Lepisosteus oculatus: one gene and its partner. The protein of the gene in region 2 purifies or fractionates together with the protein of the main gene of each other region. This does not show direct contact. Links are inferred from orthologs where the notes say so. Each region holds a gene or a part of one and is shown on either strand. Other genes may lie near its edges.

What was found.
Region 1: the proteins of stk3 (region 2) and rassf6 purify together in Homo sapiens (affinity purification with mass spectrometry; 4 studies listed by BioGRID and IntAct, counting the BioPlex papers as one, with this or other methods). This does not show direct contact. The link is inferred for Lepisosteus oculatus from reciprocal best matches to the Homo sapiens genes STK3 and RASSF6.

Annotation. Positions count from the first base shown.
Region 1 is NC_090698.1:62,244,809-62,251,667, reverse strand, and holds the start of rassf6 (ras association domain-containing protein 6), read left to right. Parts: upstream 1-3,853; 5' UTR 3,854-4,063; intron 4,064-6,661; 5' UTR 6,662-6,695; coding exon 6,696-6,754; intron 6,755-6,859.
Region 2 is NC_090705.1:8,366,748-8,373,937, reverse strand, and holds the start of stk3 (serine/threonine-protein kinase 3), read left to right. Parts: upstream 1-4,170; 5' UTR 4,171-4,465; coding exon 4,466-4,488; intron 4,489-7,190. UniProt on the Homo sapiens protein: Stress-activated, pro-apoptotic kinase which, following caspase-cleavage, enters the nucleus and induces chromatin condensation followed by internucleosomal DNA fragmentation.

The DNA.
Region 1 (6,859 bases), on a different chromosome or scaffold from region 2:
GTACTGGTAGGTTTTGCTTTCACCAATTGTATTGCTAACAGACCAGAGATACTGAAAAGCCTATTTCATTGGCAGTGGGTGCACATTTTTAGTGTACTGCTGCCATCTGTTGCACAAGCGTTAAACTGCTGACATCCAAAGTTAAGAAATAGAACCATCTATTCAACTGAGTCATGCATTTTATAAAGTATTTCCAATTTTCAACATCCTCAAATGGAAAAAAAAATGGAATCAATTTAATATTTGTCCATTTACATTTTAGTATTTTGATTTTGTTTTTCCTATATTTAATGTAATGCTGAACGTATTTTTTATCCATCCTTCCATTTTGTAACGGCTTTATCCACTAATCTATATAGCCAGTAGCCATATCACTCTGCACCTCACAACTGGCAACCCATTGAAGCTAAGTAGGTGTGAGCCTGATCAGTACCTGGATGGGAGACCTCCTGGGAAAAACTAAGGTTGCTGCTGGAAGAGGTGTTAGTGGGGCCAGCAGGGGGCGCTCACCCTGTGGTACATGTGGGTCCTAATGCCCCAGTATAGTGACGGGAACACTATACTGTAAACAGGTGCCGTCCTTTGGATGAGATGTAAAAGCAGGGTTCTGACTCTCTGTGGTCATTAAAAATCCCTGTGTGTTTCTCAGAGGGGTGTAACCTCGGCGTCCTGGTTAAATTTCCCATTGGCCCTTACCAATCATGGCCTCCAAATAATCCCCGACTATGAATTGGCTGCTCTGCTCTCCTCTGCTCTGCTCTGTGGTGAGCATTCTGGCGCACTATGGCTGCTGTCACATCATCTAGGTGGATGCTGTACATTGGGGAGTGTAAGCTATTATTATATACATACATACAACCATGGAGAAGACAGTGGTATTCAAGTCTGCAAACAGAGTAAAATAATTCCAAGTTTGATTTCAGTGTGAGCTGACAGAGGTTATATGATCTTTGTGATGTGAAATTTATCATACATAATAATACAAAGTATAATGCCTCCATAAACAAAAGGTACATTTTGCAATGTTACACATGGTCTTATCTTTGCTGCTTATGCATTATTCCAAATATTTTTTAGAATAGATATTCATACAGATTCTTTATAAACTCATTTTGCTAGCCCTGGGACCAATAGTAAACAATCAGCAAGACTTTCTGTTCATTATTTAATATTTATAAAGTATGGTCCAAAAGATGTATTGATGTAAAATATAGACTTGTTGGGTTTTCATTGTGCCTTAGTACATAAAACTGTAAATGCTATAGACTGATATTCCCCAAAACTAAGTTTATCTCAATACATTATGTCCTAGGCATTTCATGTTTGGTTGTGTATGGGCTTGTTGGCTCAGCTCCTAAATAGATGGTGCCAATGCCTACTCCTTCCAGATATTTGCATGCAGTTCCTGCTAAAACTTGAAGCTGGCAGATTTTACCTAGAGTACACCTCTCTTTGATTTTAGGGCCTCCAAAGTTACTCAGCCATGTACAGGTGATTGCTCAAATGCAGCTTGAGCCACTCAGGCCCATTAACCTGAATATCTGTCAGATTATTTACTCTTCATTGCCATTTTCTTCCATAATCGTCATTCTTTCCATAATTTCCTTCACTGCTGTATAAGTGAGTACATAATGACTACTTCAAGAAATAAAATTAATCAAATGTTTTTTTTTCTTTTTGAATGTTGATAAATGATGATGCTTGCCTGTCTATCCTCAATGTGCCTCATTCAGAAATGAAAAGTAAACTACAGAAACTGAGAAAGGAAGAAGCAAAGGTTTATTCCATCTGAAAAGAAAAGAGACACAACGTTTTGGTTGTGGAGTCTTTTTCGGGTACCTCCAGATTTACACCTGAAGCGGGCTGCACAGCCACAATGTTGGGTCCCTTTTGTTTTTGGCATAGAAAAGACCTTTACTTGCTCCTTTGCAGACTACGCATGCTGACACAGCTACTGTACCTACTGTACTTCAAGGAATTGCATAAAACCTCCTGCAAATCTGTACAGCAATGAAACCAAATAATTTTCATACGCAAATATAGCAAAATGTCCACAGCTGTTGGGTGACTGCTTTGCCTCTTCCACATGGTACATAAAGGTTCTGAAAGACATAAGCTTTCTAGTCTCAATTCATTGATGTCCCAGTTATTCTTTTGAAAATGGTTCATATGGAATTGACAGACAGATTTTCTACAGCATGTAAACTATATTAAATGCTAAAACTATATAAAATCACACCTTTCCTAGATATGGATATCAAAGTGCATGGTGTATTTTTGATTATTTTTCTGAAACTTTATTTTTACATACTGTATAGTAATTAGTCAAGGCATTAAACGATCTGTAATAGTAACAGATTAACTATGAAAGAATAAACATGATTTCTCAAAGCTTTAACCATTTACCCTTTTAACAGTTGTGGAGTTCTGTGTGACTAATTTAACATTTCAGTAATTTTAATCATTTTCTTAAATCCCACCTTTATGAAGGTTTGGAGGTGCAGATTTAATCCATTGTGTTGGAACCAAAACGATCTGTTGCTTTTTCAATGCCTCTCGGTATGTACTACCCATAATAATACCCATCTTAAAGGGTGTTTCATATTTTTCAAGATTTATTATTACAGCTATTATCTCAAGAAAACATTGCACTCATGATATGATGTATCATACAGTATGTATCAGGTATGATGAATCAATCAGGAGAAGTTCACTTTCCAATTTCCTAGTTCATTAGCATGGATCAAGGACACCTCTTCTGGGGTACCCCTGTTTCTTGTAGTTTCTGTTCCAGATGCATTCTTAATTATTAACTGACTCTTGTATTGATTTGAGTCTCTGACTTGTTTTGATCTCTGAAAAAGCTAAAAGTAAATAGTATATTGAGTAAGTGTTTGTTTAGGAACAAGTAATACACTGTAGGTTTATTCCAAGCTGAAAAGAGAAGAATGAAAACACAACGTTTCGACCTTCCTCACACCTTCTCTTTTCAGCATGGAATAAACCTATTACTTGTTCCTTTGCAGCCTATGCCTGCTGATGGCAGCTACCCACCTGCAGTGTTAATTTATGTAACTGTGAGCTCAGATTAACAAAACAGCACACAGAGAAATGTGCAGTAATGCACACTGCTCTAAAGTAAAATCAGAGCTAACTGGATAAATAAAAGTTATTTATTTACATGCAATACATTGTGTGTTGTCCAAGTTTGATAAATTGCTTTATTTTCATTACAGTGATTATATTACAGTCATTATACAGTATATCATAAAGATATTGTATTACAAAGTGATCAAATTTGTCTTTAGTTATTAAGTTTCTGAATAGAAACATTTAACTGTTGACACCAAACTGAAATTATTAAAAAATTATTTTGATGAGCCATGATGATTAAAAGTAATTAATTGGAATAAACATTATATCATGCATTGTACCCCACAACAATTGCTAATTAAATCCCCAAACTAATTAGAACGTGTAAATATTTTGTGTACTGTGTCTGTGAAACTCACTTACAGATGTATTTCTTATGTGTTTTATAATTAAAACAAAGTTATCTGTATTTTCTTCAGGTTCTTCAAGAGATTTGTATGATTTGCATGGGAGATTATGTGAAATAGAATACTTTGATCTTTTGATAAATGTGATCTTTCTATTTTGAATAAACATTAGCAAATATTACAATACTTTGTAAGTTGTTCAGCATTTGACTGATTATTTGAAAAATGTTCCAGTGATGAAACAGTTAATATTCACAAAGTACCTGCCTTCTCCTGCTGGTGAAAGGTGTGACTACAGGTGTGTTTATATAGGATCCACTTAGCAGCAAGGCAAACACTCCCAACATGCACTGTGGCAAGACACTGTAGGCAGTCTCAGGTTTCTGCCACCTTCTTCAAAACACTGTCTGTCCTGCGCTCACTAATAATTAACATCTATCTGAGGCTTCAGGCAAAAGTTACACTGGCTGATCGTTGACTTCCTTTGACCTCTTTTTCCTGTTACAGCAGAAAAAATAATGTGATACAGGCTACTTTGGACAAGTACTTTTGATTCAGTAAAGGTGAGTGGAAGTTGTTCAGTGGTAATGGTAACTTTTGGCTGTTTGGAGACTTAACTATTATAACCAGATGATGAGTAAAGTAAGATTTAATTTCAGAGGAGTGGAAGAATAATGTGTCATCATGTTTGTAGGTAAATCATCATGTGACAAAGGCAAGGAAAGCATTTCATGTTGACTGAAGTAAAGGGAAAAATTTATATTTTACTTTCAGTTTATAGTATATGGACACATAAAGTGAATCAGTTTTATAATTAAGTTGCTTCAAATAACATGTGGGTCAGTTTGAGGTTTGATTTTGAAGTTTGTGCTTCTAGTTTTTTCACATTTTAATTTTTACATCAAGCCATCACTGGCAACAGTCTGTGGGGAACATTAAAACTGAAAATTCACAGAACTGAAAAAACATGGTAGATTTCAGAATCGCCTCGTGATCAAAATCTTCTATTTCACACCATCTCTCAAACAAATCATACAGATCTCTTGCAGAACTGAAGAAAATACAGATACCTTTGTTTTAATTATACTGCACATAAGAAATACACCTGGATTAAAATATGTAAATTAAATACTTCATAACAACATAACACAGATTGCTTTTTTGTAGAGTGGTACTTAGAAATACTATTTAAATGTATTGCATCTGGTCATCCAGATTAGTGAAATATTCTAGTTAGAAATGGGTGTGGTCCAATAACTTAAAGGAATGTAGCCCCTGGCTATATATTTGAGTGGGTAAACTAGGCTTGTTATGGTACCATACTCAGAATAATGAAAAGTGGCTTTAAATTTCCAGAGACAAAACTTCACATTTTCATTCCATGTTTATGTTTGAAAAGCTTTACTGTATGTGACATTGAACTGTAATAACAGTTTCTCAATATTTGATGCAGAATTTACTACAACCACACAATAGAATCATGTAGAATAATTATCGTAATAGATGTTCTATTGTTATTGTACACTCATTTATACACAGATGGCAATTAACAAATCTTGCAAAATTATGGACTAGTACTGGTGACCTTTTAAAATGTCTCTTGCTGTAGGTTTGCATATGTAGCAAAGATAAAATGTCAGTTGCTAGAAACAAATAAAACTAGTCTCAAAACATTTGCATCACAATTGATGTTTTCTGTCTGATTTTGGCTGTACTTAAAAAGTTTCCGGGTGTTGATAAGTTTTTTACTTCAGATAATATTTTTTTTGATAAAATGCTAAATGAACTTGTATGTTCTCCCTGTCAATGGAGCTTCGTAGACACCTGACATGAATGGGTTGTTCCCTGGTTGTTGTTTGTTTTTTATTTCTTTTCACTTCTGAAACAGCATTAAACTGTACTTTAAAGACCTATAGACATGCTATATCTACTGTATATGCTATAGATTCTTCACAAAGTGTGTCTCTACTTGAGTTAGGCATACTAAGTACTTACAAATGTTTTAAAATGCAGAAAAAATCAAAGCATGTGATTCAATGAAATGGTTGTTTGTAGATAATTATATTTCAAATATTTCAATTTGTAAATTTGGTACAGGAAAGTGCATGTTTTGACTTGACCAAAAGGTTAAAAATTGACATTCCTAGACAGGGCTGGGATGCTGAATGCCCAAAAAGTTATTTTATCTGAAATGTGGATGTGTTTGTACTCCAGAAGACTTTGTTACATTTAGTAAGTGTGCTCGGTTTCGGTAACTATGATGTGATCAACAGAACAGCCTTTAAGGATGGAAAGAGGAACTGAAAGTGTTTATGGGACATTTATTTAAGCTAAAGACTAAGGGACATTGTTATTTATGTTAACTCAAATAACAACACTGAGTAAAAGCATTTAGACATTTTAAATCAACAATAGGGATCCTGTGGCATTGTTGTCCCTCCATAGTTTGCAATACCACAAATATGGCTCCTATGTAACTTAAATTAAAATTGTTCTGGATGTCTGTATTCAATATAAAAAAAACACATTATTCTAAACAAGCTAATCACATTCTGTTTAAAAAAAACTTAGAATCATCATAATTTTTGTTATACCCAACAGAACTGGATTAACCAATAGTGTATTTTCTACATCCCATTTAAGTATTCCTTTCATTTTTTTGTACAGTTTACAAGTTTTAAATGATCCAAAATCACTACAAATGTGGTATATCTGCTATAATTTATTACTCCTGATACCCCCCAGTGCCTCAACAATTTACAGTGATCTGGGGAGATAACCATTTCTCACTTTGTTTCATGATTTGATTAAATGTAACCACACTGGACAAACATAATATATGACTGTCATTTGGCCCACCACGTGGAAAGGAGTATTACACCTACAGTACATTTAAATCTCTGTATATTCCTCCTTGTTGCAAAAGAACACTAGGCTATCTTATAACAATTTACAGCACATACACAACAACACTCATTTAACAGCATATGAGAAACTGTTACATGATCGATATTTTAAAGATTCAAAAGAAAATATGTGAGTCTTATAACACAATGTCAGAAAGAACATGAACAGAACTGACATTTGGACTATTAAGGAGCTTGTGAATCGTTATGCACTTAACAGTGTTAACTGATTTTATTTTTTTTTGTCTCACAAAGGGTCTTACCATTTTGGTTTGCAGGATTAACTACAATGAATCTTGACCAGCCATCGTCTCCTGTCCATATCGGGAACAAGAGATCCATTTCCAGGTAGCTCAATCTGACAATTTAACACATTCAATGGGAATGTACTGTAGGAAGAAAAGATCACAAGAGAGACATCCAAAGCAGTATACACTTAACTGCAATTCCTTT
Region 2 (7,190 bases):
ACAGTGAAACAAGCGTCTAGAGATGTTTGGGGCTGCATGTATTCCAGTGGGCTAGGAAAGGTAATAAACAGGGAAGGTACTGGTGTCCCCCCCCCAGGGAAAATGGCATGCTGATTACCCAAAACCGTGCCGTATCGTCTGGAGAGCAAGGCTGGTTGAAACATCACTTCTGTATGTGATGACGATGACATCAACCACAGTACTGGGGCCATAAAAATGATCTCGTTGGCAAAAGACAAGCTGGATATGTGAAATCTGCGACCTGCACACGAATCCAGAGGTCAGTCCTGGTTCTATAAAACACGGACTTAGGGAAGGACAAGAGAAGACTTTGGATGAACTTTGGAATTTTTTTTAGGTTCCTTAAATGTGGAATACACAAGCACCGAGCTGTCAAATAAATCAGAGTGTGGGGACACAAAATATTGCCTTCATCTCACATCATCATTGGTAGGAGACCAATTTTTAAATTTTGAAATCTGTTGCTTTTTTTTTTACTATTGTAAATATATATACTTCACATGTATCTGGGATTACATACTTTGGAACAGTTCTGTATGTCATTCACCTTTTTGGAGTTTTTAGTTTTAGAGTAATGTTTTAAGAATGATACGATACGAGGGAACAAAACACTGCAGTTGGAGTGTGCTTTTCCTTTCCAAGGCCATTTAGAAAGTCAATGACCTTAGGTTCTTAATGACTTTAGACTAAAACCTTTAGGCCAGATTTGTTACTTTGTGCATCCTAGAGGTTCAGTAATGAAAATCCATCCATTTTCTAACAACTTTATCCAATACAGTGTCATGAGAGTGGAAGCCTATCCCAGCAAGCAATGGGCACAAGGCAAGGTACAGCACTCCATTGCAGGGCACAGACACTGGCACACAGACACCAGGGCCGAATTTCTCAGAAGCCAACTAATTTACTAGTATGTCTTTGCAATGCTTCAGACCGCAAGACCCTGCAACGAATGGTGGAAACAGCTGAAAAGATCATCGGCGCCTCCCTCCCTTCCATTCCTGTCACATCTCACGAACGCTGCTTACACAGTATAGTGGATGACCCCTCCCAGAAACTCTTTGCCCTCCTACCATCTGGGAAAAGATATCGCAGTGTACGGGCTAGATCCAGACTCTGGAACAGTTTCTTCCCACAGGCTGTCAGGCTCCTCAACATCCTGGAATCTACCTGCACCCACTCCAATTCCAGGAACAGGTTTAAATCCCCCCAGTGTGTTGTGTATGTTGTATTATGTATGTGCCTTGTAATTTGCACTATCTGCACTTTGCACTGTGTGTATCCTGTCTACACTGTCTATGTCAGTGTCCTGTCTGTATTTGCACCGTGGAGCAGGAGGAACGATATTTAGTTCCACTGTATACTTGTAAATGGCTGGAATGACACATAAACGTGAACCTGAACTTGAACTTTGGACTGTGGGAGTCACTGGAACACCAGAGGAAACCCACGCAAGCATATGGTACAAATGCCATGAAGATCGCACCCCAGGAATTGAACACAGGACCCTAGCACTGCGAAGCAGCAGTGCTGACCACTACGCCACTGCATCGCCCTGCTCCTAATTGATCAGCATATTAGAAAAACTTACTTTCTTTGACCCTCAGCACAATTATATTCTTAAGCACATAAGAAAAACAAATCCTCTGTTTAAACAAAACAGAACAGGGTCTAATTCCCTTCCATCAATTGAACCTGTTTAGCTGATTGATGGTAGTGTCCATCGTAAAAAGATTGTTACGAAAATACGAATCTCGGGGGAAATTATCAGGCGGTAAGAAAGGGTCAGTCTTGTTTATGTAACGTAATGTTCAAAGAAGTCTTTGAACATACTGTACAACAGCAGCAGTGGATACAAAAAGAAAGTGCATTTAATTTTCAAAAGACCTTTGATAAGTTCCCTCTAAAAATATTCATTCTCAAATTGCAGGTGATAGAAAAAGCTTGTATTCAGTATAAACACTGGTTAATGGTAAACAGAATACAGACATCGCTTAATAATAACAATACACTCCGCTCAAAGTGCTTTACAGATAATGGGGACTCCCCTCCACCACCAATGTGCAGCCCCTCCTGAATAATGCAATGGTAGCCATAGCATGCCACACACCAGCTCTCAGTGGGGAGGAGAACAGAGAGATGAAGCCCGTCTAGAGATGGGGATTATTAGGAGGCCATGATTGGTAAAGGCCAGGGGGAAATTTGGCCAGGACACCAATGTAACACCGCTACTCTTTTTGAGAAACACCCTGGGGTTTTTAATCACAACAGAGAGTCAAGACCTCATCCCATCCAAAGGACTGCAAACTTTTTTTTTTTACAGTATAGTGTTCCTGTGACTACAATGGGGCATTAGGACCCACACAGAGCCTGCAGGGTGAGCGCCCCCTACTGTCCCCACTAACACCTCTTCCAGCAGCAACCTTAGTTCCCATTTAGGTACTGGCCAGGCTCACACTTGCAGAGCTTCAGTGGGCTGCCGGCTGTGAGTTGCAGGGCGATATGGCTGCTGGTTGCAATAAGAAGAACATAAGAATAGTTACAAAGGAGAGGAGGCTGTTTGGCCCATCTAGCCTCTTTGGTAGCTAGTAGTTACTTGGTCCAAGAATCTCATCCAGCTGTTAGTTGAAAGAAACCAATACATTGGCTTGCACAACATGCCTGGGCAGTTTGTTCCACACTCCCACAACCCTTTGTGTAAAAATATGCCATATAATCATCACTGGTTTACTTACGATACCAGAATAAAACACATCAAAACAGGCCTGTAGCACTGTATGTGCCAGTAATGAAACCGTTATTATTATTCCTCTTCAGCGTGTGTAAAAAACTATTTGAAGTATTATTGAGTTTTGAAGTTCTGGGAAAACTGGGGCTCACCCAAACCAACGGAAACTAGGAACGTCAAGTCAGAAACCACCATAAAACAAGAAACCCAACGCGCTGTGAAGCGGAGATGTGATGTTTTTTTTTGTAAAATGGCGGTTTAGGGGTGACGTGGTGGAGAAGCTGGTAGCTCTGCAGCCCCACAGCTCTCGTGGTCCTGGGTTTTATTTGGACTGGGGCACCGTCTGGGTGGAGTTTGCATGTTCTCCAGGAGTTTGTGTGGGATTTCATCGGGAGTTTTAGCTTGCTCCAAAGCTATGCTGATCAGGTTACTTGGTGTCTCTAGTCCATGACTGTTGTCATGTGATGGACTGACCTACACTGATAATGATAAGATTTGTATTTCAACATCCCTTGCCAGGGTAGAGGCATTCTTGAGACTGGGTGCGTGGTATGAGACAGAAAGATACTTTATTGTCCACTGCTGTGGAAATTTGTCTTTAGCTTCTCCCATAAAAGTGCATGAAAAAAAAATTGCCAGAAATAATTCGCACCTTTCATATCAACCACCACGATGATTAAAAAAAACCACATCGCTGTGGAGCTTATGAGATACCTTCTTAAGCATGTGACAACGGAAAACGCAGCCTCGGCTTCAATTTACACTGAAATCTCAAACCTAGTCATAATTAACCGGCTAGTACAACACTTGTGCTCGTCTATTTTTTTACACATATCCAGCTTCGCAAAATGTTCGATAAATCAGAAATATACGGAGTTTAGCAAGCACGCCTCTTCTAAAAATGACCAACACTAGCAACTGAAAGAGTGACTCCCAATAATGCTCCAGCCGCCTACAGTATATGTCAATATTTTATAATATGTCTTTGTTGTAAATGTCTGTAACATGTCTGTAGATTTTATTTTACTTCTATTTCTGGTTTTGTTCCATGTTAATTTTATTATTTTTATTTGCTTTGGCAACGCTGATTGTACCTATCGGTCATGCTAATAAAGCACCTTGAATTGAATTGAGTGAAGGCAGGCACGGGTGGTTTTTCACAGCCTGTGACAACCTCACCGGTGATGTGTGCCATTTCGGAAGACGACTGGGTGTGTTTTTGGAGCATGGTAACAACAGAGTGTCAGGGCGTGATACTCCCGGTTAACCAGAGACGTACGCCCTGCACAAGAATCCCAACTGGATCCGGTTGGTGCTTCAAAACCACAGAAAAGCCCTCAGCCAGGGAGTGATGCTCTGCTTTTTTTCCCCCACCCACAATGCCGCAACAAAGCACATGTTCACTTCCTACTGGCCTCGGCGAGTAGGGGAGTCCCGACTGCAGCCCTGCGATATTGGCGTCGGTAGGGACCAGTGTTGGGGGATGACCGCCGGTGGATCCATCCAACCAGGAAAACGCGGCGCAGGAAGACACGTCCCTCCTGGAGCAGCAAGTTAGAAAGCGCTCCTCAGCGACGTCACCGGAGTGTCACCAAGAAGGCAGCTGGAGGGGCCGAATATGAAACTTGGTTAGGAGTTATACACGGCTTTTCCACCCTTTATTTTCTTCGGGCAGGGTCTGTTGTTTCAGGAGACCGGTGTTTTCGGCAGCGTCGCAGGATGGAGCAGCCGGCGCCCAAGAGGTAAAAGCAAACCGGGCGCCTGTGAAGACCGGCGGGGCGGGCTGCGCCAAACTTTCGGTTGCCTTCGTTTGTGTTGTGGTCTCGTTGTCTCCTTGTTGTTTTGTTGTAATGGTTACTGCTTGTTGCAGCTGTCGCGGTAGGCCATGATGGGTCTAGGTTCAGCAGGGTAGTTCGCGTTTGTTTTTCTTTTTTCTCTTTGCCGAGAGGTTGGTCTGGGGTTGTTACAGTCTCGGGGAGTGACTGTTTGTTTTCCTTTGTTCGGCATTTTCAAAGTGCCTCCGGTAGCCTGACCCCGGGCTGGGCTCTCCTCTCAATTTAACCAGTGAAGGGTCACTTTTCGGCAAAGCGGTGATTTTCTACGTACCGAGCAGGGATTGCATTTTTTTTTAAAATTCCAAAATGGCAGGATTCTCCTAAACGGGAGGCTTGCTGATTAAACCCCCTGACAGCCTGTCAGTGTGTTAAGTTGTAGATCTATCCCTTGGTTTGGCAAATGCTTTGTTGTGCTTTTCGTTAATAACCCGAGCGTGGATTTAACTGAAGAGAGAGCGACACGGTTTACTACATATTGTGTAAGTCGACGTGTCTGTTTTTGTGTGTGTGAATCTGCTACTCCAGAACTGGTATTTAATTTAGATAATTCATTATATGTTAACCGGATATTGATATGCCACGGAACCACGTGCGGGGTAGCGTTCACAAACAAGCAGAAAGGCATTTCCGTGTAGTGTACTCCTTGCTCTTGTTCCTCTTGTTCTGGTGCTAACAAACGGCGCAATGACAGTTCTCAACCTTCGGCATTTATAATTTACCCATTTACTCATTCTCTGTTGCCCACTATGTGTTTCTGAAATGAAACGAAATTGCAGTTCCGCCTAATTCGTGAAGTGATACTTATAATCTGTGCGAATACTTCTTGTTTGTGTGGTTTCATTTATTTTAAAATTATTTTCTTACCGTGCAATATAATAATAATGGCTAGTGTGCGTTAATTTTTGAGTGTTGAAGAACGAAGCAAATAGTTGTAAGAGAATCATAGACCAAGCTTGGTGCTGTGGGGAACACAGTGATGATTACGAGAGTAGGCTGGAGATACCGGGGAGTGGGTCTTGTTAGGCTTAGTCTTGTGAGTGTATTATTCGTAGAACTGAAAATGCCGGTGTGCAGTAGTACCACACTAAACTACCAAGGGTTATTTGTACAATCTGGCCTGTCTTCTGATCACACCTGATCTGGTTTGTACTGGGCAGTGGTGGGTGAAGTGGTCCACCATTGTTGTTAAGTCTATTCCTAGTCTTTATTCCTTTGGGATGCAAAGTGAGATGTAAATGAAAGGAATTTTTCATTGGTATAAAATAATTGCCTTTAAGTTTTTATTGCAGCACTTTGTTGTGTAAATGATAATGTAAGTGCTGGTTGCTTAGTTAAAAAAAGTTCAGGTTTATGGTATGTTTGAACTTTTTGTCATCTGCTACCATCGCTGTTCAGCTTACTTCTGCCTTCGAGGGTTCCCAGAATTCAGCACCTTCAAATCACTGACCCTCCTGCTTTTTTCTGCTCTGTTGTTTTGTTTCCTGTGCTGAATGATATTTCTTTCACATTTAGGTTTGCCTGAAACTGACATTGTAATATACAGATAACCGCTTGCGAAGATCCCAGTCGAACAATTGAGTTAAGAGACTGAAATCCAGTGATCATAGACGCATTTGATCATGTAGACCCACAGAAGACAGGAAATTATTTCAATTATATTTAACAAATAATCAGTTTGGCTGTTATGTTACTTGCTGCTGATGCTTAGCCTGAGCAGTGTGAGCTGTCTAGGTGGATGACTGAGGCTGAATCCTCTGGATTGAAAGGCGCTATACAAGAATAAAATTGATCACATGATCAATTGGTGTCCTCCTGGAACCCGAAACAAGTCTTGAAAATCCTCAAGGCCTCCGACAAAGTCAACACCATCAGATGTCTTCAGAATGAACAGTGGAAATGGACCAGTGGGCACACGTGGAAACAACTCGGAAGGGAGTTTAAAACCGAGGGAAGGTGGCTGTTCTTTACCCAAAGGGATGTGGGAGTGTGGAACAAGCTACCCAGGCATGCTGGTGAAGTTTAAACCAGATTGAAAAGAATTAGATCCTTGGAATTAGTTACCAAACGAACTACGAGTGGCCTCCTCTCATATCCTTTCTCAAGTGTTTTCCTGCAGTTCTGGATTTCGGTGAAGCTTCCCGGTTTCACGGGGTGATTTTGTCTCTTTGATATTGGTTTATGTTCTGTCACTTAATTCTTCGTTGCACCTTCATTCTTGCTGTGATCTGAGACGCGAGCTTCATTTGAAACTGCGATGTTGCTAGTCTTGTCATCTGCAGTCTCCATCTCCTGAGGTCTTTAGTGCTAGTGCTGCAAGGGTCATTTTCATACACTGTGCTCACTGAGAACAAGAGGGAATGCAAATCCAAGGCAGGCAAGGTAGTAATGGTGGCATGGAAATCGTCTTCATTCGTGTGTAGCCACACAGTGCCATGTTGATTAGTCTTATTGGAATTTGGTGTCCTCTGAGTTGGGGCCCACTGTCGGTGTGTTTTTGTCGCCTCTAAGCTGTGCTGCGTGTTGCACCTAAGATGAAACCGTTATGAGTTGTCATAGGGCCATAATGTATATGGTGTAAAAATACCTGCTATAGTCTGTAGTGACCCATG